Macaca fascicularis: one gene and its partners. The protein of the gene in region 2 purifies or fractionates together with the protein of the main gene of each other region. This does not show direct contact. Links are inferred from orthologs where the notes say so. Each region holds a gene or a part of one and is shown on either strand. Other genes may lie near its edges.

The links. Proteins that work in one complex are often made in the same cells at the same time.
Region 1: the proteins of LARP7 (region 2) and H1-4 purify together in Homo sapiens (affinity purification with mass spectrometry; 3 studies listed by BioGRID and IntAct, with this or other methods). This does not show direct contact. The link is inferred for Macaca fascicularis from reciprocal best matches to the Homo sapiens genes LARP7 and H1-4.
Region 3: the proteins of LARP7 (region 2) and PURB purify together in Homo sapiens (affinity purification with mass spectrometry; 3 studies listed by BioGRID and IntAct, with this or other methods). This does not show direct contact. The link is inferred for Macaca fascicularis from reciprocal best matches to the Homo sapiens genes LARP7 and PURB.
Region 4: the proteins of LARP7 (region 2) and CCNT1 purify together in Homo sapiens (affinity purification with mass spectrometry; 10 studies listed by BioGRID and IntAct, with this or other methods). This does not show direct contact. The link is inferred for Macaca fascicularis from reciprocal best matches to the Homo sapiens genes LARP7 and CCNT1.
Region 5: the proteins of LARP7 (region 2) and DHX9 purify together in Homo sapiens (affinity purification with mass spectrometry; 3 studies listed by BioGRID and IntAct, with this or other methods). This does not show direct contact. The link is inferred for Macaca fascicularis from reciprocal best matches to the Homo sapiens genes LARP7 and DHX9.

The regions. Positions count from the first base shown.
Region 1 is NC_088378.1:146,774,866-146,779,011, reverse strand, and holds the start of H1-4 (histone H1.4), read left to right. Parts: upstream 1-1,423; 5' UTR 1,424-1,486; coding exon 1,487-2,146; 3' UTR 2,147-3,181; coding exon of another isoform or gene 3,182-3,562; 3' UTR 3,563-3,571; intron 3,572-3,868; exon of another isoform or gene 3,869-4,146. Other genes in the region: histone H2B type 1-M, read left to right, coding at 3,182-3,562. UniProt on the Homo sapiens protein: Histone H1 protein binds to linker DNA between nucleosomes forming the macromolecular structure known as the chromatin fiber. Histones H1 are necessary for the condensation of nucleosome chains into higher-order structured fibers.
Region 2 is NC_088379.1:118,138,925-118,142,963, reverse strand, and holds the start of LARP7 (la-related protein 7), read right to left. Parts: upstream 2,801-4,039; 5' UTR 2,657-2,800; exon of another isoform or gene 1,895-2,656; intron 962-1,894; 5' UTR 873-961; intron 171-872; 5' UTR 76-170; intron 1-75. UniProt on the Homo sapiens protein: RNA-binding protein that specifically binds distinct small nuclear RNA (snRNAs) and regulates their processing and function.
Region 3 is NC_088377.1:85,453,972-85,458,032, reverse strand, and holds the start of PURB (transcriptional regulator protein Pur-beta), read right to left. Parts: upstream 2,801-4,061; 5' UTR 2,638-2,800; coding exon 1,699-2,637; 3' UTR 1-1,698. UniProt on the Homo sapiens protein: Transcriptional regulator which can act as an activator or a repressor.
Region 4 is NC_088385.1:55,529,737-55,533,972, forward strand, and holds the start of CCNT1 (cyclin-T1), read right to left. Parts: upstream 2,801-4,236; 5' UTR 2,743-2,800; coding exon 2,582-2,742; intron 1-2,581. UniProt on the Homo sapiens protein: Regulatory subunit of the cyclin-dependent kinase pair (CDK9/cyclin-T1) complex, also called positive transcription elongation factor B (P-TEFb), which facilitates the transition from abortive to productive elongation by phosphorylating the CTD (C-terminal domain) of the large subunit of RNA polymerase II (RNA Pol II).
Region 5 is NC_088375.1:40,371,624-40,375,755, reverse strand, and holds the start of DHX9 (ATP-dependent RNA helicase A), read right to left. Parts: upstream 2,801-4,132; 5' UTR 2,691-2,800; intron 1-2,690. UniProt on the Homo sapiens protein: Multifunctional ATP-dependent nucleic acid helicase that unwinds DNA and RNA in a 3' to 5' direction and that plays important roles in many processes, such as DNA replication, transcriptional activation, post-transcriptional RNA regulation, mRNA translation and RNA-mediated gene silencing.

The DNA of each region.
Region 1 (4,146 bases), on a different chromosome or scaffold from region 2:
GCATTGGGCAAAATTTTATTTTGTTTCCATGATAAGTGGCTTGTAGTTCCACCCATACTGTTCCAGCCATACCGTTATTCAGAAATAATTCTTTTAGTTGGGCTTTCATTGCCAACCTACATACACTCTTCTTGGTTGGGCAACTACCTAAAGAGATTTACTCAGACATTGTTCAAAGGATGTTTTCAGAGGGCAATGATTTATAATAGCTTAGATAGACTCTCAAAGCTCTGCTTCTGAGATCGAAATTTGAACTTGTCATTTAATCACTACATGTCACTTATTTTTCTTTCTATTGCGCTCTGCGAAGCGTTGGGATACAGTCTTCAGGGGGATTGAAACCATACATGGTGAGTGGACTAGTCATTCCTCAACTATTCAGTAATAATAGCGGCTGGGCTTCTCTAATAATGGGAGTACATATGTTTCAATATACAGTTCTTATTTATTTTCCCTTATTATCAATGTTTGAATTCCAGCTCTAAGCTACTTTATTGCAATTTGGTTCTGAAGCATATGCCAAAAGCACTCAGCAAGGCTGCAGACAAATGCTTTAAAGAAAAGTGCACCTCCACTTCCAGTGACTTTATGAACATCACATTCGAAAATTAATCTTTTTTCAACTCTGTACCCTGAGTATATTTTGGACTTCCCTTCGTTCCCAAATACCCTGAATTCAAGGTATCTCAATCCATGGAGCAGTTGTCCAGAGAAGAGAGAAGCAACAGCCCCGCCCCCAACCCTTGGGAGCAGAAAGGGAAAGAATTATCCAAAGGAATTGTTTTAAAACTCAGATATAGCGGACAGATGTAAAACCACGGCTGCATAGATTGATGTCCCAGGGGTCCAAAACTTAATGTCAAATGAGGAATAATTTGTTTAGCATTAAACTAAACCAGTTTGATGAACTCAAATGCCCTCGGCTCAATAGGCAGGACTCTCCGAGGAGCCTGTGTTACTTCCCTCACTTAAGTGCAGATTTGTAATAAAAATCTTAATGCCAGTGGCATGCTTTTTGGATATATCAGAAGCTAACCACTTGGAGAATCATATTTGAGAGGTCAGAAAACTCCACAGTTAAAGATCGGTTTATAATTTACGAAGAAAATAGAAAGTTTTGTTTCTCTGAGTTGAAATTTGCCAAGCACGGCGGGAAATATTGCAAGTTTTTGGCACAAGGCTTTGTGCTTTCCTCATAATTTGAGATCTGCGTGAAGCCTGAGGGTTCGGGGATCATTATCTGAGAAAAACCGGGTAGTTCGGTGCAGACAATTTTTATATTTTTGGCTTTTTTTGAGGTGTAACAAACACAACTCGGGATCCGAGAGGACACTCTGCGGCTGCCAGCGAGGCGGGCTGGACAGCGCACCAATCACGGCGCAGCTCCGCCCTATATAAACGGGCGGGCGCAGCGCCGCGGCCCGAGTCCCGGCCAGTGCCTCTGCTTCCGGCTCGAATTGCTCTCTCTCTCACGCCTGCCTTCAACATGTCCGAGACTGCGCCTGCCGCGCCCGCTGCTCCGGCCCCTGCCGAGAAAACACCCGTGAAGAAGAAGGCTCGCAAGTCCGCAGGTGCGGCTAAGCGCAAAGCGTCTGGGCCCCCCGTGTCCGAGCTCATTACTAAGGCTGTTGCCGCCTCCAAGGAGCGCAGCGGTGTATCTTTGGCCGCTCTCAAGAAAGCGCTGGCAGCCGCTGGCTATGACGTGGAGAAGAACAACAGCCGCATCAAGCTGGGTCTCAAGAGCCTGGTGAGCAAGGGCACTCTGGTGCAGACCAAGGGCACCGGCGCATCGGGTTCTTTCAAACTCAACAAGAAGGCGGCCTCCGGGGAAGCCAAGCCTAAAGCTAAAAAGGCAGGCGCGGCCAAAGCCAAGAAGCCTACAGGAGCGGCGAAGAAGCCCAAGAAGGCGACGGGGGCAGCCACCCCTAAGAAGAGCGCCAAGAAGACCCCAAAGAAGGCGAAGAAGCCGGCTGCGGCTGCTGGAGCCAAAAAAGCGAAAAGCCCGAAAAAGGCTAAAGCAGCCAAGCCAAAAAAAGCGCCCAAGAGCCCAGCGAAGGCCAAAGCAGTGAAACCCAAGGCGGCTAAACCAAAGACCGCCAAGCCCAAGGCAGCCAAGCCAAAGAAGGCGGCAGCCAAGAAAAAGTAGGAAGTTCCTTTGGCCAACTGCTTAGAAGCTCAACACAACCCAAAGGCTCTTTTCAGAGCCACCCACCGCTTTCAGTAAAAGAGCTGTTACACTATCAGGGGGTGTGGCCGGGAAAACGCCGCTATTGAGGGGCGGGTCTCCCGGGAACAAAGTCGGGAGAGAGGAGCCGTTTTTGGCCAGGGGGTCATTTCTCGTTCCGTCGGCCAAGCAGGAGTGCAGCCGCGTCATTGAGCTTTTATTGCGTTTTCGAATACTGGAGTTAAAACCCATTTCGACCTCCGTAGTACTTAACACTTAGCGAGATCTGGCCTGCAAATAGCATGGGAAAAAAAGTCGGGATTTTCCCGGGCTTCTAGGCTGGGACGTATGAGTTCCGAATAGAGAACACTCAATTTCCGTGCTGGCTCCCTACAGACTATGGCAAGCAATGGAGTGCAGAGGAGTACGTCTCGACACAGGTGGCATAGTACACTATTTCAACCACTGCCACAACTAAAAATTAGAAATTGACACTGCAGAAAATACGTGGTCCTTAAATGTAGCATTTGCATAGATGAAGGACTTCCCAAACGCAAAACTGCCAGACTTCCAGGGATATCCCAATTACCATGACTTCTGTATGCAACGAGTCCTATAATTTGTTAGAGGAAGAAAAGAGAACGTGAGCTCTCCTAAAGTATCTTTCAGTATACGTTCTGACACCACAACGCTAATAAAAAGTGTGATCTCAAAAACAACTGCTCCAAGAGAAGTGCACAGCTGACTTGTCTAAAGACGACTATTTATAGTAGCCTCGGGTAGTCTGGTCTGGGCTTTCTGATTGGGTAAAAGTAAAGTAATGAAATAGCCAATGAAAAGGTAGACTTTTAAGTGTCGTTTACATTGGCATTTGTGACGACACACAAAAATTAATCCAATCATAAACGAAATCTGATTAACCTCATTTGAATACCGCATCTATAAATGAACGGGGCATCGGTGGGAGTGATTATTTTCTCAGGTGTTTGCGACAGTGTTGTAATTATTAACGTTGCTATGCCTGAGCCTACCAAGTCTGCTCCTGCCCCAAAGAAGGGCTCCAAGAAGGCGGTGACTAAGGCGCAGAAGAAGGACGGGAAGAAGCGCAAGCGCAGCCGCAAAGAGAGCTATTCCGTGTATGTGTACAAGGTGCTGAAGCAGGTCCACCCCGACACCGGCATCTCTTCCAAGGCTATGGGGATCATGAATTCCTTCGTCAACGACATCTTCGAGCGCATCGCCGGCGAGGCTTCCCGCCTGGCGCACTACAACAAGCGCTCGACCATCACTTCCAGGGAGATCCAGACGGCCGTGCGCCTGCTGCTTCCGGGGGAGCTGGCCAAGCACGCCGTGTCGGAGGGCACCAAGGCCGTCACCAAGTACACCAGTTCCAAGTAACTTTGCCAAGTAAGCATCTTTACACCTAATCCCAAAGGCTCTTTTAAGAGCCACGCATGTTTTCAGTAAATGAGTTGTAATTTCATTCAAAAGGGGGATTATTGGATTTCTCAGCACCATACTACCAATCTTTAATGTTATGTTAGTACTGCAGAGGAAATACTTGGAAATTATAGGTAGTAACAATAGGTACCAGAAGTTGAGTGCTATGGGCACATACTAGATCATTAGCTCATTTAGTGTCAGATAACACTAACATAAACTGAAAGTACTGTAAGTGTACAGCTCTTTCGTTTCCGTGTGCAGATTTCCAAGTTGATCGTGATGTTGATCTGGGACTTCGTGTGGTGACGGCCCACCCTGAGCACAAAAGAGCACCCTTTTGCAACTTCCTTCTGTTTGGAGCTTTCTCCACCATCACCCCCGCCCCCCGTTTTCTTGTAAAATTTTTACCATGCAGATACGTGATAACTGCAAGTAAAGGCTGAAGACAATGTGAGCTGAACACGGAAGTATTACAAAGGTTTCTGGTTTGCTTTGTAATTGGGCCAGTTTCTCTCTGAAGCTCTTAGGCGAGTAGGGGA
Region 2 (4,039 bases):
CACCTTCCCATAACATAATATGCAGTTTAAGAAAACATTGTTTAAAAAAAAAAAAGTCACGACGCAGTGGCTCACGTTTGTAATCCCAGCACTTTGGGAGGCTGAGGCGGTGGATCACGAGGTCAGGAGATGGAGACCATTCTGGTTAACAAGGTGAGATCCCATCTCTACTAAAAATACAAAAAAAAAAAAAAAAAGAAAACAAATTAGCCGGGTGTGGTGGCGGGCGCCTGTAGTCCCAGTTACTCGGGAGGCTGAGGCAGGAGAATGGCGTGAACCCGGGAGGCGGAGCTTGCAGTGAGCCAAGATTGTGCCACTGCACTCCAACCTGGGCAACAGAGCAAGACTCCAAAAAAAAAAAAAAAGTAACATTTTAGTTGCTTTAAATGCAGAATAAAAGCTACTGGGTAATAATACCAGTAATTTTATATACATTTTTGTAAATCCTCACAATCCCACTAGGTAGCAGTTTCTTCCATCTTCTTAATACAAAAACTCAAAAAAGTTATGTGACTTGGCCCAAGCTAGCTAAGTAAATTATCCCAGGTATGTTTGATCCCACATTGTCTACCTTTTGTTAGAATTTCCTGCAATTTATCACCATGGACTCTATGTTCTGACTCAGGAATTCTTAATCTGAAGTCCATGCAACTTTGTCTGGACAAGAATTCTTGTGGGCTCCGTTAAATTGTAAATAATACATTTTAAAGATAAGGTAAAATTAAGACTCTTGTACAAATATAAAATGGAATACATGGTAAAGATTTAAGCACAGTCATGGGTTGCTTAATGACAAGGACACATTCTGAGAAATGCATATTCAGGTGAGTAAGTACATCGTAGGGTATGTAGTTATTGTATGATGTACTCACCTACAAACCTAGGTAGTATCGCCTACTACACACCTATAATCTTATGGGACCACTGTCATACATGCGGTCTGTCGGTATGTGGTGCTGGACTGTAAATAAAGGAATCAGTTAAGTGTTAAAAACCAGTTCAAAGAAGAATTTAAAAAGCAGGTACGGCCGGGCGCGGTGGCTCAAGCCTGTAATCCCAGCACTTTGGGAGGCCGAGGTGGGAGGATCACAAGGTCAGGAGATCGAGACCATCCCGGTTAACACGGTGAAACCCCGTCTCTACTAAAAAATACAAAAAACTAGCCGGGCGAGGTGGCGGGCGCCTGTAGTCCCAGCTACTCGGGAGGCTGAGGCAGGAGAATGGCGTAAACCCGGGAGGCAGAGCTTGCAGTGAGCTGAGATCCGGCCACTACACTCCAGCCTGGGCGACAGAGCCAGACTCCTTCTTAAAAAAAAAAAAAAAAAAAAAAAGCACGTACATAGGCAATAAGGAACGTTGAAATAAATATTAATAAATACTGCTCAGAATAATAATTAATTGCATCTTTACTGGACAAACTCATTTCCATGTTGTTGTAGCGGGTTACATGGTTGAAAAATAGTTCAAAGATCACGAAAGACAGATAACCTGGAAGACTGAGTTAGACAGGACACCAAGTCATTTGTGTGTGTTTGCTATTTAAAATTATTTCGTAATTTTTCCTGAGGAAATTATATGCGAAATGTTTGTTTGGAGACGGAGCCTCTCTCTGTCGCCCAGGCTGGAGTGCAGTGGCGCGATCCTGGCTCACTGTAATCTCCACTTCCCGAGTTCAAGATTCTCCCAACCCGGCCTCTTAAGGGACTACAGGCGTGCACCACCACTCCCCGCTAATTTCTGTGTTTTTAGTAGAGACGCGGTTTTGTCACATTGGCCAGGTTGGTCTTGAACCCCTGACCTCAAGTGATCCGCCCGTGTCGGCCTCCCAGAGTGCTGGGATTACAGGCGTGAGCCACGGTGCCCGGCCTCGCAAAATGTTTTAAAAGGTACATACATGTTTTCCTGAGAAGCTAATCCATAACTTTTATTAGGTTTTCAAAAGCGTTTCACAACAGGTTAAGAATCATTGTTCTAGTCACTGCTTACAATTCAAGTCCCTCAACACGTAGTGGCCTGTGTCTTCTGCTTTGTCTGAATCTTCTCGTCTAAATTTCCTTACTAAATTTTCAAGGCCCAGGTTAAATGGCATCTTACTCTTTGAGATGTTCCACCACCCTGTGTCCTCTAATTAACTGCCTCCTCATTTGTTTTCGCTTAAGTTTTTTTGCTAACGCACTCTGCACACCGTATCTAGCACTTGTTAGTTCCCTTCCATAACTGGATTTTTAACTCTTTGAGGACTATGGCAGAGTCCTGCAAAAGAAGATGATAATTTTAGAATATAAATCCTCACGTTCACTATCCTCTGGCAGCCACAAGTCAGCTCCAATCTGCGAAATACTGCACTGTCTTTACTGACTACTGCTTCTCTCGGCACCCGTACTTCCACAAGGACAACGTCATAGGCAGGGCGCGCCCCAAACCTCCCCATGCTGGGCCCCTATGCGCCCCTACTCTCTGAAAACGAGAACTACAAGTACTGCCGGAAGACTTTTGCGCGTGCGCATAGATAACTAGGTCAAGGAATTGATGGATGCGCAGGCGGGAGGCGGGGTAAGAAGGACGACAAATGATAGAGTGGACCGCAAGAAAAAGGACGGAGAGTTAATCAGACGTCGCCCAAGCTGTGCGACCCTATACGCCGCTTGTAACTTACTCCGTTCAACTCCCAAAATACAGGGTCAAGTACTGCGGCCTTCAGCCCTTTCCGTCTCCCGATCCTGATAGTCTTGGTTACTTTCGCGTCATAGGATGAGCGACAACGTTCGCCGGTCCCGCTCGAGAAAGACGGGCCCAAGGCAGTGCGCGCGCCACCTACGTCACAGGCGAGGTGGTTCCGGGAGGGCGGGGCATCGGAGAGCGCGGCCGGCTGAGAGCCTCGAAGCCAAGGAAGAATTTGATTGGCGGTTTGAAAACGGCGGTTTTTGGCTTGGGCGGAGGTGGACGGGCCAAGTTTTGGGTCCTCATCTGGTGAGGTCCCGCGTTAATGACGTCACATTCTTTCGCGGGAAAAATTCGAAAGTGGATTTTCTGTAATTTTGACAGGTGAGGTGAAGTGTTTCTCGAGCTTTCCTAGGAATGGCTTGAGCGATTTGGGGCGAAGGGACAAAAGACTCTGCTCCGTAAGAAGAGAACCGGGAAGGATGCTGTTTGGAACCAGGATTAGTAACAGCTACTCGGACTGCTTGTAATAAGGGTTGCCTCTTCACCGCTTTTCCCAGGCCCTGCTTTGCAATTTCGAGTACGTATGAGGACCAAAGGGGACTTTGCTGTTCGTATTTAGGACTGATAAAGGATCGAGTCTCCATTGTCATTTGGTGACACAGGATTATGGTTATTAGAATCTTGGCAAATGATATGTGGGTTTCCTTTGTTTATTTGGACTGGATGGTTTCTTAACAATGTTGAATTCGTGATTCCAAAACTTTGTTATCTGAACTATTTAGAGGTTCAGGGTTAGGTTCAAAAAATCCTCCTTGTCTAAAAACAAAAGGAAAAACATCTTGTAATTAAATGAAAAATGGCTCATACTTTACTGAGAACACCGAGTTTTATGTATATGTATTGTATCTGTACATATCGTAGCACAAGGTATATATATGTGTGTGTATGTACGTATATCTGTAGATGTATGTATGTATATAATTATCACAGAACATTTGGGATCTTTAAAAACTTCTTTGGAGATTAATCTTTCACCTGTTAGAAGTCGGTCAGCAGGTGAATTGGCTGGTAGACGTGGACAGATGAACACTTGGAAAAAACTCTTTATCTTTGCATCTCACTTAAATATATGATGCTGTTATCTTAAATAATTTTTTCTGATTAATGCTAAGTTAAGAAAGGGTGGCCGGGCGCGGTGGCTCAAGCCTGTAATCCCAGCACTTTGGGAGGCCAAGACGGGCGGATCACTAGGTCAGGAGATCGAGACCATCCTGGCGAACACGGTGAAACCCCGTCTCTACTAAAAAATACAAAAAAAAAAAAAAAAAAAACTAGCCGGGCGAGGCGGCGGGCGCCTGTAGTCCTAGCTACTCGG
Region 3 (4,061 bases), on a different chromosome or scaffold from region 2:
ATACTAAGATTGTGGAGGTGGGGTTACTTGCCTCCTGGTTGAGAAGGTGTCACACAAAGAATACCTGAAAACTTTGGAAAGAACGTTAGCTCCCATTCAATTCAAAGTTACCTAGGTCTATGACATTTCTAGGAATACCTTTTGATGGGGTGGGATTAACTTGATTAGTAAAAATCATTTCTACTGAAAATCCATTTAAAATATAGAAGAGGCGATCCTTGAAAACCCCAACTTTTATTCTTGAAAGACAGCTGGATTAACTGGCAAAAGCCAGTTTGTTGAAATTTCAAGATGGTATAAAAATGCTTCCAGGATATAGTCAGCATATTCACGTTAACTTCAGTTCCTTTCACAGATGGATTTCAGCTTCCACCGGGTGCACTGCTTGAATCACTCATCCATCATTTGCCAACTCTGATTGTGAGGTACTGATACAATGGATCAAGTTCTTAAAAATTTTAAAAGAATAAATGATGCTGGAATTCTGGACCTGAGGATCTTTAGTATTTGAACAAATCCACAGATTAAACTGAAGGTAAATTAAGACTTCAGTTTTGGTTATTTCCAACTTTTCCGTGAGGATGTATATTCCATTAAAGCTCAGGCTTATAGCCACACTGTTCCTTTTGTAGGTAATCTTCAAGTTTTATGGTTTAAAATCCAGCCAACCAGTGGCTGTAACAGCCGAATTAGCCATAATTCACTGGCTCACACAGTGGAGATCTGGCTCTCATTCATACCAAAGCCATTTCTTGGTAATGACCTCCATATTTAGAGATCAGGGGAAGAACTTTAGTGAGCAGCAACCAATCCACTCAAACAGTCTGCCTTGTGCTTTATGCCTGACTTTTTCTTGTGCCTACCTCAGCAACCCCCAATGTAAAACTGCTTCTATCTTCGAAAATTTTTTGTCAACTTTGGAACTATTTTAGTAACGGATTCTACTCCAAGCATTGCTATCTGAATCCACTGGCATCCCGGAAAACAATTCTGCAAAGACAAGACATTTGCCTTGGTCTCCAGGTTCCATGCAAAACCATTTTTCAAAAAAAAAATGGATCCAATTTGGTTCTGTATTCTTAGATGGCTTCTTGAAATCTTATCTTTAACCCATGATTATCCCAAGTTGCATTTCTTTTCATGAACCTGAACCCTCAGAACTGGATAATTGTAAAGGCCTCTCTTCTCAAGGATTCCATGAAGACCTAGATCCAAAATGCTGATTTCAATGGAGGTGAAGGGATAGACACTGCAAGAGTGAGGCGTAGAGAGAGATCTTTTGTGCCAGATTACCCAGATGCAACCTAAATGCAACTGTTATCAATGGTCTGGGTAACCTGGACGTGTTTCTTGCCCCGGATGTGCAAGGATCTATTCCCTCCAGGGATTATCCTCATGGGTTTAGGAACCTCAGTTGAGAAACAACAGAAGCTGAGACAATTTTATGCAGGTGAGGAGATGCTGTTGTCCTCTTTGCAGGTTGCTGTCAGTTCCTTGGAACTTGACTGCTTTTCTCAAGTTGTCCGTCACTGTTCTCTTACGATTATTTCTCTTAACTATATTATGTTTTGTTTTTTTCCCTCTGCGGCCTCCCTGGCTCCCTCTCCACTAGCTCACTGGGGATGAGCAGGAAGGGGAATTCTCTAGCCAACGGGATTGTGGTGGGGTGGAGGAGGCCTGTAGGGGAAGCTGCCTGTTTCAATCCTCATCCACCTCCTCACCCTCTGACTCTTCGCCGCCGCCGCTGCCCCCACCACGTCGCTCATAAAGCTTATCCCTCTGTCTTTCCTGGATTTCTTTCATCTCATCCGCATACCGGCAAAAGGCGCCTCCGAACTTGCCCCAGGCTTTGAAGGGCACGGTGATGGCATTGCGGTAGGACGGCTTCACCTCGCTCACTCGCAGAAACACCCCGTATTTGTTGCAGCCCACATCGAAGAAGAAGCGCTTGGAGTCCACGGTGATGGAGGTGCCCTCCGGGAGCTCTCCATACAGGCCGCCCCCTGGGCCGCCGGCGCCGCCTCCCGGGCCGCCTGCCAGCTCGTCGTCCTCGCCTCCGTAGTCGTCGATGAGCTTGGCCAGCGCGTCGCGGAACTCGATGAGGCCCTGCGCAGGCAGCGCGATGGTCTGGCCGCTCTGCAAGCCGCCGGGCCCGGGGCCCGCGCCGAAGCCGCCACTGCCGCGGTTGACCGTTTGGCGGATGCGCAGGAAGCGGCCGCGCTGGTTCTCCTTGAGGTCCAGGTAGTACTTGCGGTTCTCACGCACCAGGAATTCGCTCTTGAGCGCGCGCCGCGGCCCGCCGCCCTCCTCGGCGCCCGCCGCCAGCTGCTCGGGGCTGCTAGGGCCCAGCTGCGCGTAGTGCTCTATGAAGTCTCCCAGTGAGTCGCGGAACTCGGCGGCCACCGCCATGGACAGCGTGAGGCGGCTCTTGGAACCGCCCGCGCCCACCTCGGCGATCTTGAGGAAGCGGCCTTTGGCGTTCTGCTTCACATCTAAGTAGAAGCGCTTGTTCTGGATGTCCAGCCGCTTCGAGGCCAGCTCCTGCGTCTCCTGCTCGCCGCCGCCGCGGGACGCGGGCTGGAACCCGCCCGGCCCACCGCCGCCGCCGCGCTCGCTGCCGCTGTCGCCGTCCGCCATCTTCTCGGCCGCCGCCTCGCCGCCACCGCCCGCCGCGCTCGCGCCCCCGCCCTCCGCCCTGCGGCTCGCGCTCCGGGGCCCCCCAGCCTCGCCCGCCCGGCTCGCTCACGCGCTCCCGCCGCTCATCGCCGGCCGCCGCCGCCCCCCATCGCCTCCGCGCCCCGCCCCCGCCACTTCCGTGCAGCCCTAGGCACTTCCGGCGCGCGACTTCCCGTGAGGTCACTCCGTCCCGCCCGCCGCGGCCTCGCGGCCGGAAGCGCCGCGGCGGCGTGGCGCAGAGGGGTGACGTCAGGGTCCGCGCTGGGCGGGCGGCAAGGTGGGAGTCGGTTAGTGCTACTGCTCGGTTTCTAGGCCTGGGGACTTGCCAGCGTTAGCGTGACTCAGGCTCCCACTGCGTCTGTCGACGCGCCTCTCCCCCATGACACTTCTACTTTAGACTCCAGTGTCGTTCACTTCCCTCCTCGTTTCCGGGGCGTTAGCTGAGCATGCTCAGGCCCCAGCCTGCCTGCCCTGGTTGTGTGCTGGGAACGGGGTTCCAGTCTACGCACTATGGCGATAGGGGTGAGGGAGATCCTTTGGAGTACTCGGCAGCGGGTTCTTACCGGCCTGTGGGGTTCCCCAGAGCAGGCATGAGCTCACTCTGAAGGGCAAGCTGCAGTTGGCTTGGCAACTCTGGAGAAGAGCCACCCAGCATAGGAGACGGCAGTGCAGAGGCACCCAGGGCGTGACACTGGGAGCTCAGAGCAGCTGGGGGTGTGTATGCCTGAAGAATGGTCGTAGATGACACGGTGGGGTGGAATAGATAAAGGAAAGCTATTTGTAGTGCGGGAGAGTTAGTGCCTACTCCAGAGTCTGGAGCCACCACATGTGATCAGATTCACATTTTGGAAAGATCACTGTGGGAACAACATAGAAGATGGTTTAGAATGAGGTGAGATTTGGGATCCAGAGATCAGTTAACTGTCCACACAGTTAGCCATATTAAAATGGTTAAGGGAATTGACTCTGCCAATCTTTAGTTTCTTTATCAATAAAACGAATAATTCCTATGAGGTCTTTTTGTTGTAAGCATTGAGGTGTAACAAGAGGCAGTATTGGAATAGTGTTAAAAAGTGTAGGCTCTGCAATTGCACTGGGTTTGAAATTGACCTTGGCCAGTTACTTAGTATTTTCCCAAGCCAAAATGTCCTCATCTTTAAATTTTTTTTTTTTTTTTTTTTTAAATTTGAGTCTTGCTCTGTCGCCCAGGCTGGAGTGCAGTGACATGATTTCGGCTCACTACACCCTCCACCTCCCAGGTTCAAGCAATTCTCCTACCTCAGTTTCCTGAGTAGCTGGGATTACAGGCATCTGCCACCACACCCGGCTAATTTTTGTATTTTTAGTAGAGACAGGGTTCCACAATGTTGGCCAGGCTGGTCTTG
Region 4 (4,236 bases), on a different chromosome or scaffold from region 2:
GAGGCAGGAGAATCGCTTGAAACGGGAGGCGGAGGTTGCGGAGAGCCAAGATCACACCATTGCACTCCAGCCTGGGCAACAAGAACAAAACTCCACCTCCAAAAAAAAAAAAAAAACCAATTTATAAGGCCTGGCTGGGCACGGTGGTTCACACCTGTAATCCCAGGACTTTGGGTAGAGGCAGAGGCAGGTGGATCACCTGAGGTCAGGAGTTTGAGACCAGTTTGGGCAACATGGCGAAACCCCTCCTTGACTAAAAACACAAAAATTAGCCAGGCATGGTGGCAGATATCTATAATCTAATATGATTTACAGCGCCCACCCTGATCTGGCCCATAGGTATGTCTCCACTACCTCTCTCACCTGCTAAACTCCATCAACTAAATTACTTTCTTTTTTTTTTTTTCAGACAGAGTCTCGTTCTGTCACCCAGGCTGAGTGCAGTGGCACAACCTCAGCTCGCTGAAACCTTCACCTCCTGGGATCAAGCAATTCTCCTGCCTCAGCCTCCCAAGTAGCTGGGACTACCGGCTGGGCCACCATGCCTGGCTAATTTTTGTATTTTTAGTAGAGATGGGGTTTCACCTTGTTGGCCAGGCTGGTGTCGAACTCCTGACCTCAAGTGATCCGCCCGCCTCAGTCTCCCAAAGTGCTGGGATTACAGGCATGAGCCACCACAATCGGCCTAAATTATTTTCAGTTCCACTTCTCTCTGGCAACCAAGCCTTCTCATGTGGTGATCCACGGGACAGGAAACATCTGAAATGATCTGATAATTCATTAACTGAAGAAGAAGAAAAAACTTGTAAATGCCTTACTTCTAAAAACTTCAGTAGACAATATGGGGTAGAGAGATGATGCAGTCCCAAATTACAACAGCCTTTTTTTGAGGGGGCAGAGTCTCGCTCTGTCGCCCAGGCTGGAGTGCACTGGTACCATCTTGGCTCACTGAAACCTCTGCCTCCCAAATTCGAGCGATTCTCCTGCCTCAGCTTCCCCAGTAGCTGAGATTATAGGCACTCGCCACCAAACATGGCTAATTTTTGTATTTTTAGTAGGGACGGGGTTTCACCATTTTGGCCAGGCTGGTCTTGAAGTCCTGGCCTCAAGTGATCGACCCGCCTGGGCCTCCCAAAGTGCTGGTATTACAGGTGCGAGCCACCGCGCCTGGCTGACAACCTTAATGACAACACACATACAAAAAGGAAAGCGTTTTAAGGATACACTGAAATAGAATTTCGAACAAAAAGATTTACTCCGTACTGATAGGATGCTTAGGAAACACATCTGGACATCAGCAGGAAACAAACTGGCGATAAAAAAGACACCCATTTTGAGATGCACACACCCTTAAGATACAAACATTACTGTCAGCCACACATTTAAATAGAAGCTGCACCCAAGAAAATTTTCATACACAGAGTGGAAAGAACTTTAAAACTATACAAGTTTTCTCCACCACAAAATAAGTATATTTCCTGACAAACAAAAATATGTGGGAGAGGATACCTCATTTTTTTTTTAATTTTTTTTTCTGAGACGGAGTTTCACTATTGTTGCCCAAGCTGGAGTGTAGTGGCGCGATCTCGGCTCACTGCAACCTCCGCCTCCCGGGTTCAAGCGATTCTCCTGCCTCAGCCTCCTGACTAGCTGGGATTACAGCTGCCCGCCACTAAGCCGGGGTAATTTTTTGTATTTTTAGTAGACAGGGGTTTAATTATGTTGGCCAGGCTGGTCTCGAACTCCTGACCTCAGGTGATCCACCCGCCTCGGCCTCCCAGAAGTGCAGAGATTACAGGTGTGAGCCACCGCACCCGGCCGTTACCTCATTTTTGAAATAGAAAGAAAATGAAATACACACCACCACTCTAAGTAACTTAAGGACCCAGTATTTTGTAAACGATTTAAAACATTAGATTCGTGGGTAACCCCTACAAACGTAAACTAACATCTTTCCTCTGAAATTCTATAAAACAGCAGCTACTAATTGAGCATCTTAATGCAAAGCATTGTGATGGACACAGAATCAAACACAAGAGGTATCATCCCATTTTATAGACAAGACGACCAAGAATTTGACAGGTCACTTAAACAGCTAGCAGATGAGGAATGGATTTTGGACCAAGGCTGAGGCATTAATTCTAGACCACCCTTTATAAGACTTTCAGGTACTGAATTTCTCGAAATTTACACACTAGGTTTCGGAAGCAGCCCTCAACAGAGAAACCTCTGCCAGACCCAAACCCCTAGGGCACAGCGGAAAATGAGAAACTTAACGTCACCAGAGCCGATCAGAACACAATGAAGAGAGAGTTGGAAGGGCTGGTTAAAACACGAAGCCGGGAAGGATACGAATGCCCAGCAAGGTTGGTGGCACGGGTGAGCGAGCGGGAAATCAACTCCGCCTCGCTTCCCTAGCGCGAACTGAGTTTCAGCCCGCCCCATCGTGGGCTCTCCCAACTAGACATCCAGCTTCTGCCCACCTTCTTCCCCACTTTCGTCCCCCACCAGAGCCTGAGACCTAGACGCCAGAGCATGGCGGGACCAACTCAAAGGCCGAAGGCCTAGGCCGCAAGGATACACGTTAAGACGCTGCCCCATGTCCTGGAGCAGATTGGCCGCCTGCTGGCGATAAGAAAGTTCTTTATCTGGGTCCACACCAAATCGACGGGATGGGCTATTTTCCAGCTGTTCTCGAGTGAAATACCACCGTTTGTTGTTGTTCTTCCTGTCTCCCTCCATAATGCTTCAACCAGAAGGCAGCGGCGGAGGCTGCAAACACTTCCCAGCGTCACCTAAGTAGCGACCCACATCCGCTGTGCGGGGGCAACTGCGACTTGACGAACTTCCGCTAAGCGTCGACCGCCGGGTTGTGACTCTCTTCCGTAAAGAAAGCAAAAGTCAAAGGACCTACTTCCGGAATGCACCTCGCGACACCCCGTAGCCGAGTTAACAGCCAATATGCGACGAGAAAAAAACCTTGAGGCGAGGACGCAGGCGCGTCACGTGACCCTTGGGAGGTGGCGTGGGCTTAGAAGTTCTCGCTTAAAAACCATGAATCTTCCCGCGAGAACCGGATTGAGCGTTGGCGCCCGGGGTTAGGTTGTGAGGTCGCAATTGTAGTGGTATGAGGCGCCCGCCCACGCGCCGCTTGGTGGTTCTTAGGAGAACTTAGTTTGTGACTGCAGTGGTGATATAAAATGGGGCAGATGGACCGCGCGCGGTGGTTCACGTCGGTAATCTCAGCACTTTGGGAGCCCGAAGCAGGCGGATCACGAGGTCAGGAGTTCGAGACCAGCCTGGTCAATATGGCGAAACCCTGGTCTCTACTAAAAATACAAAATTAGCCGGGCGTGGTGGCGTGCGCCTGTAGTCCCAGGAACTCGGGAAGCTGAGGCAGGAGAATCGCTTGAACCCGGGAGACGGAGGTCGCAGTGAGCCGAGATCGCGCCACTGCACCCCAGCCTCCAGCCTGGGTGACAAAGCGAGACTCCGTCTAAAAAATAAATAAAATAAAAATGGGGCAGATGAACTTGAAAGAGAAAGTAGGTGAGGTTGTCAGAAACTGAAAAACAGAATCAAATGGTGGGGCTCTTTCGTATATGGGAACATAAAGCAACTAGAAGGCTGTTACATTGTTGGTAGCAATGTAAAATACGACAACCCATTTGGAGAGGTCGCTTTAATGTGTAGCCAAATTCATGAAAACATTCTCACGTTTCGCCGCAGTGATCCAACTTAAAGGAATAAAATGAAATTAATAACATTAAGAGCTTACATGTCCCATGCACAATACTGACTTAAATATACTGTTTCATTTATTCAGCGGAACTCTCAAGAGGTAATTTTTAAGTACGTTTGCTAATGGGTGAACTAATACTGCCCCTTGAGTGTGAAAAGCCTCCACCACTACCCCTCACTTGCAGAGATTAGCAAATTCCTGCCCTCTGTCAAGATATTTCCCAGCTCCTTTGCCGGCGCGGTGGCTCACGCCTGTAATCCCAGCAGTTTGGGAGGCCAAGGCGGGCGGATCACCTGAAGTCCGGAGTTGGAGACCAGCCTGGCCAACATGGTGAAACCTCGTCTCTACTGAAAATACAAAAATTAGCCAAGTGTGGTGGCGCACGCCTGTAATCCCAGCTACTCGGGAGGCTGAGGCAGGAGAATGATTTGAACCCGGGAGGCGAAGGTTGCAGTGAGCCTAAATCTCACCACTGCACTCCAGCCTAGGCGACA
Region 5 (4,132 bases), on a different chromosome or scaffold from region 2:
AGACTTAGAAAGTTAAGTAACTTCCAAGTCACCCACAGTGGAGGCCTAAATTCAAATTCAAACAACTATATATTAAGAAACAGCTATCATTTGCATATAAACTCAATGTTTTATTCTCATTCTGATTATGACCATTAGCACACTGTTTCCAAAGTTGTGGTCATGTATTAATAATATAATAAAGTTCAAATACATTAAGCACTCAGTACTGAAGACAGTGACCTATTATTAACTTAAATGTTCTATACCAAATCTCTCCTTTAGGCTTTATTATTTATTAAAATTTGAGGATACTAAAGTTTTCTTGAAATGCAGCAATCAGTCTTGGCACTCCCTCTCTGTCTCAGTCTATAAAATACCAGAAGATATGGAGCCTATCAGTCTAAATGCTGAGTCTAAACTGTAAGGAAGATATCTGAGACCACATTTATAACCAGAGAAAATAAAATGTGCTATGAATTTAGTTTGCTGTGAAACGAATCCTATTACCAGCATTAAACCGTCTGCTTCACGTTTCACGTTTGATGCATTTTGTTAGCACCTACGTCTAATGCATCAAACTGTACCCTGGCATAAATTTGTTACGTTTGAGTGGTCACAGTCTAACTCTGGTCATCCATGTGGCGAAGGGAATGTTCTATTAACAAAAAAGCCGTGGAAAGCTGAAGATGTTTATCTGGAAATTCCACCTCGTGAATAATTAAACAACAAGCCCTCATGGTGAATGAGTAATATGAAGGATTATACTATCAAACTCCTGTCTCTCTAGTCTCATACAACCCCATAATTTTCAATACCAACTACATGCTATCGATGCTCAAATATATATATTGAAGGTTTAGTCTTTTCTCTCTTTTTTTTTCTTTTTTTGAGACAGAGTCTCATTCAGTCGCAGACTGTAGTGGCGAGATCTCGGCTCACTGCAACCTCCGCCTCCAGGGTTCAAGCGATTCTCCTGCCTCAGCCTCCCCAGTAGCCGGGACTACAGGCGCCCGCCACCACGACCAGCTAATTTTTTATATTTTTAGTATACACGGGGTTTCACCGTGTTAGCCGGGGTTGTCTGGATCTCCTAACCTCTTGATCCGCCCGCCTCAGCCTCCCAAAGTGCTGGGATTACAGGCGTTAGCCACAGCTCCCGGCCCGTCGTTTCTCTTTAAAGTCCAAAATCAAATGCATCCAACTGTGGCACTAACTCACCCATCTGCATGCTATCTTGGCATCTCAGTCAAAACAGAATTTTAAATTTCCCCTCAAATCTGTTCCAACACCCTACCCTACATTTCGGTTTCCATAAACGGCACAACATCCACCAAGTTACTCCTGGCACAAGTTGAGAGTCGTCCACTCCCTGAAGATTCTCCATAGTTATCCTTTGTAGAACCCTTACTGTGTGTCAAACAATATCCATAATAGATCATCTAAATGGAACTATTTTACTTAATCCTTAGTAATCTTGTATAGGTAAGACCACTATCCCTTTAGAGAAGGAAACTGAGACAAAGAATATCTTGCCTCAGAAAGACAGAGCTACTAATTAGAAGAACAATAATTCGGGCAGGCGCTGTGGCTCACGCCTGGAATCCTAACACTTTGGGAGGCCAAGGCAGTCGGATCACGAGGTCAAGATACCGAGATCATCCTGGCCAACATGATGAAACCCCGTTTCTACTAAAAATACAAAAATTAGCTGGGCGTGGTGGCGCGCGCCTGTAGTCCCAGCTACTGAGGGAGGCTGAGGCAGGAGAATCACTTGAACCCGGGAGACGGAGGTTGCAGTGGGCCGCGATCGCGCCACTGCACTCCAGCCTGGCGACAGAGAGAGACTCCGTCCAAAAAAAAAAAAAAAAAAAAATCAAGAATTTCAGAAAACGTAGCCTGACTCCAGATCTACTACCTTCCACCACTGCGCATTTCTCCTTCAAAATACGTCCCCTATCCATTCGTTTCTCCCCATCTCTCCTGCCACCACTACTGCACACCCGGCTAAATACTGTCCTATACGGTTTCTGTTTCCATTCTTGCCACCCTAAAACCCATTCTCCTTTGAAGGCCTTCTCGCCACACTCCAGTCACATGGCCTGCTTTCAGCTCCCGCGCAGTCTCTGCCGTTAGGCGCTAACTAATCCCTTCCGCTTCTGCAGGCTCTGCTTTTCCTTCGCGTCGGCCGAGGTGATCAGCTCAAAGCCTCCCTCCTTCGAGACGCCTCACCTCGCTATACTAGCCAAAGGCGCTCTCCCTTTACATTCTTTAATTTCTTTTTGCTCTAGCCACAAGGCCTGCACGACGGCGCCAGTTATTTGTGGCTTGAACGAATGACTGAAAGGCCCTAGGTGAGTGGCGCCCCGGCGGCAACCACCACAGGCGATGCACCCTCTTCCCTCAGCCGCCGCGGTGCTCCGGCGTACGCAGGCCAGAGGAGGAAGCGGGCCTTGGCTGCTAGAGGCAGCAGCGGGAACCGCTGGGCGAAGGGGAGGGGGCCACAGGCGGCCTGGGCAGCGCAAGCGCACCTCGGCGAGGCGCGCACGCAACCCGCAATCCGGGGACCCGCGGGCGGCTCGTCCCTTCCCCCACCCCCAGCCGCCGCCGCCGCCCGCGCTTCGCAACAAAGCCGGCTGCGGAGCCACGGTCCACGCAGCCCGCCCGCGACCCCGCCGCCCCGCATGATGGTCGTAACGTCTCTCCCTTACCAGCCTTCGCTTCCTGGTGCCCAGCTCTTAGGACCGTGTGTGACTCTGGCCTTCCACGGAGACAACAGAGAAACGCACTGCAACTCGCATGGAGGAATCGGCGAAATGGCTCCGACCGCGGCGCGAGGGGGCGGGACTAGCGAGCGTACGCATGCGCAGAACGCGCGCCGGGGGCGGGGGATGGTGAGGGCGCGCCAATAGAGGGGGCGGGGCTCAGCCACCTCGCGGCGCGGAAGGGTTTCGTTGCTAGGGAGATGCGCTGCGCCAGGCAGGCAGCGGGCCAGGCCTGCTACTCTGGATAATCCGCTACCCGCGATAATCCGCTACCCGCTTTTGCGCATGTTAGGGATTTGACGACCTGTAGCATTCTGATGCAGCAAAATGTTTCGTAGGGTCTGTCATAGGGATGTCTGGTGAGAGGAGGTTCCCTTCGAAGGCAGAACTGGAAACCTTGCTGCTAACTGGGTAGGGTTGTTGAGATAATTACATGAAATGGCATATGAAGGGGGACTTAGTTCAATACCTGGCACGTGGTAGGTGTTCAGTAGGCGTAGTTACTGTATTGATTCAGATAGTCTCAACGCCAATGTCTCTTGAAAGAAATAAACTGGCCGGGCGCGGTGCCTGCAATCCCAGCACTTTGGGAGGCCGAGGTGGGCGAATCACTTGAGATCAGGAGTTCGAGACCAGCCTGGCCAACGTGGTGAAACCCCGTCTCTACTAAAAAAATACAAAAATTAGCCGGGCATGGGGGCGGGCACCTGCAATCCCAGCTACTTGGGTGGCTGGGCGGGCTCCTGCAATCCCAGCTACTCAGGAGGCTGAAGCAGGAGAATCGCTTGAACCCTGGGGTGGGGGCTGGGGGGGCGGCGGAGGTTGCAGTGGACCGAGATCACACCATTGCCTGGGCGAGAGAGTGAGGCTCCGTCTCAAAAACAAAAAACCATGAAAGAAATAAGCTTAGTGAAAGCGGGCGTTCTGCCTGGCTAACGCAGGTCGCTCTCTGCTGTGCCTGGAACATTGTAAGTGCTCAGCAAACTAGTTTAAGGTAGGAATAAAATCTGCAAGGTTGCTTTTGTTTAAATTGGATAAACTTTTGTGTTCCAAGTCTTTGGAATAATTGTATCCTTAATTATTATACTAGTCATTGTTAAATTTTGAACTCCAGTGCTTCCTATGAAGGTAATGATACACAACATTTCCAGCTGGGATTGTTCCAGGGAATCCAGATGAATCAATTATCTGGGCTCATTATATCTATGGATATAATTCACCCGTTTCCATATGTTTTTCTTAATCCTTCTAGCTCACAGTGATCACTCCCTTTAAAACTGTCATTCCTAAAATCAGCACAACATAGTTTAGCATTTACTCATTTTCTTCATGTGATTGTTCTCTTTAATTAAGAATAAAATCACTGAAGGAAAGACCTTAATTTTTTT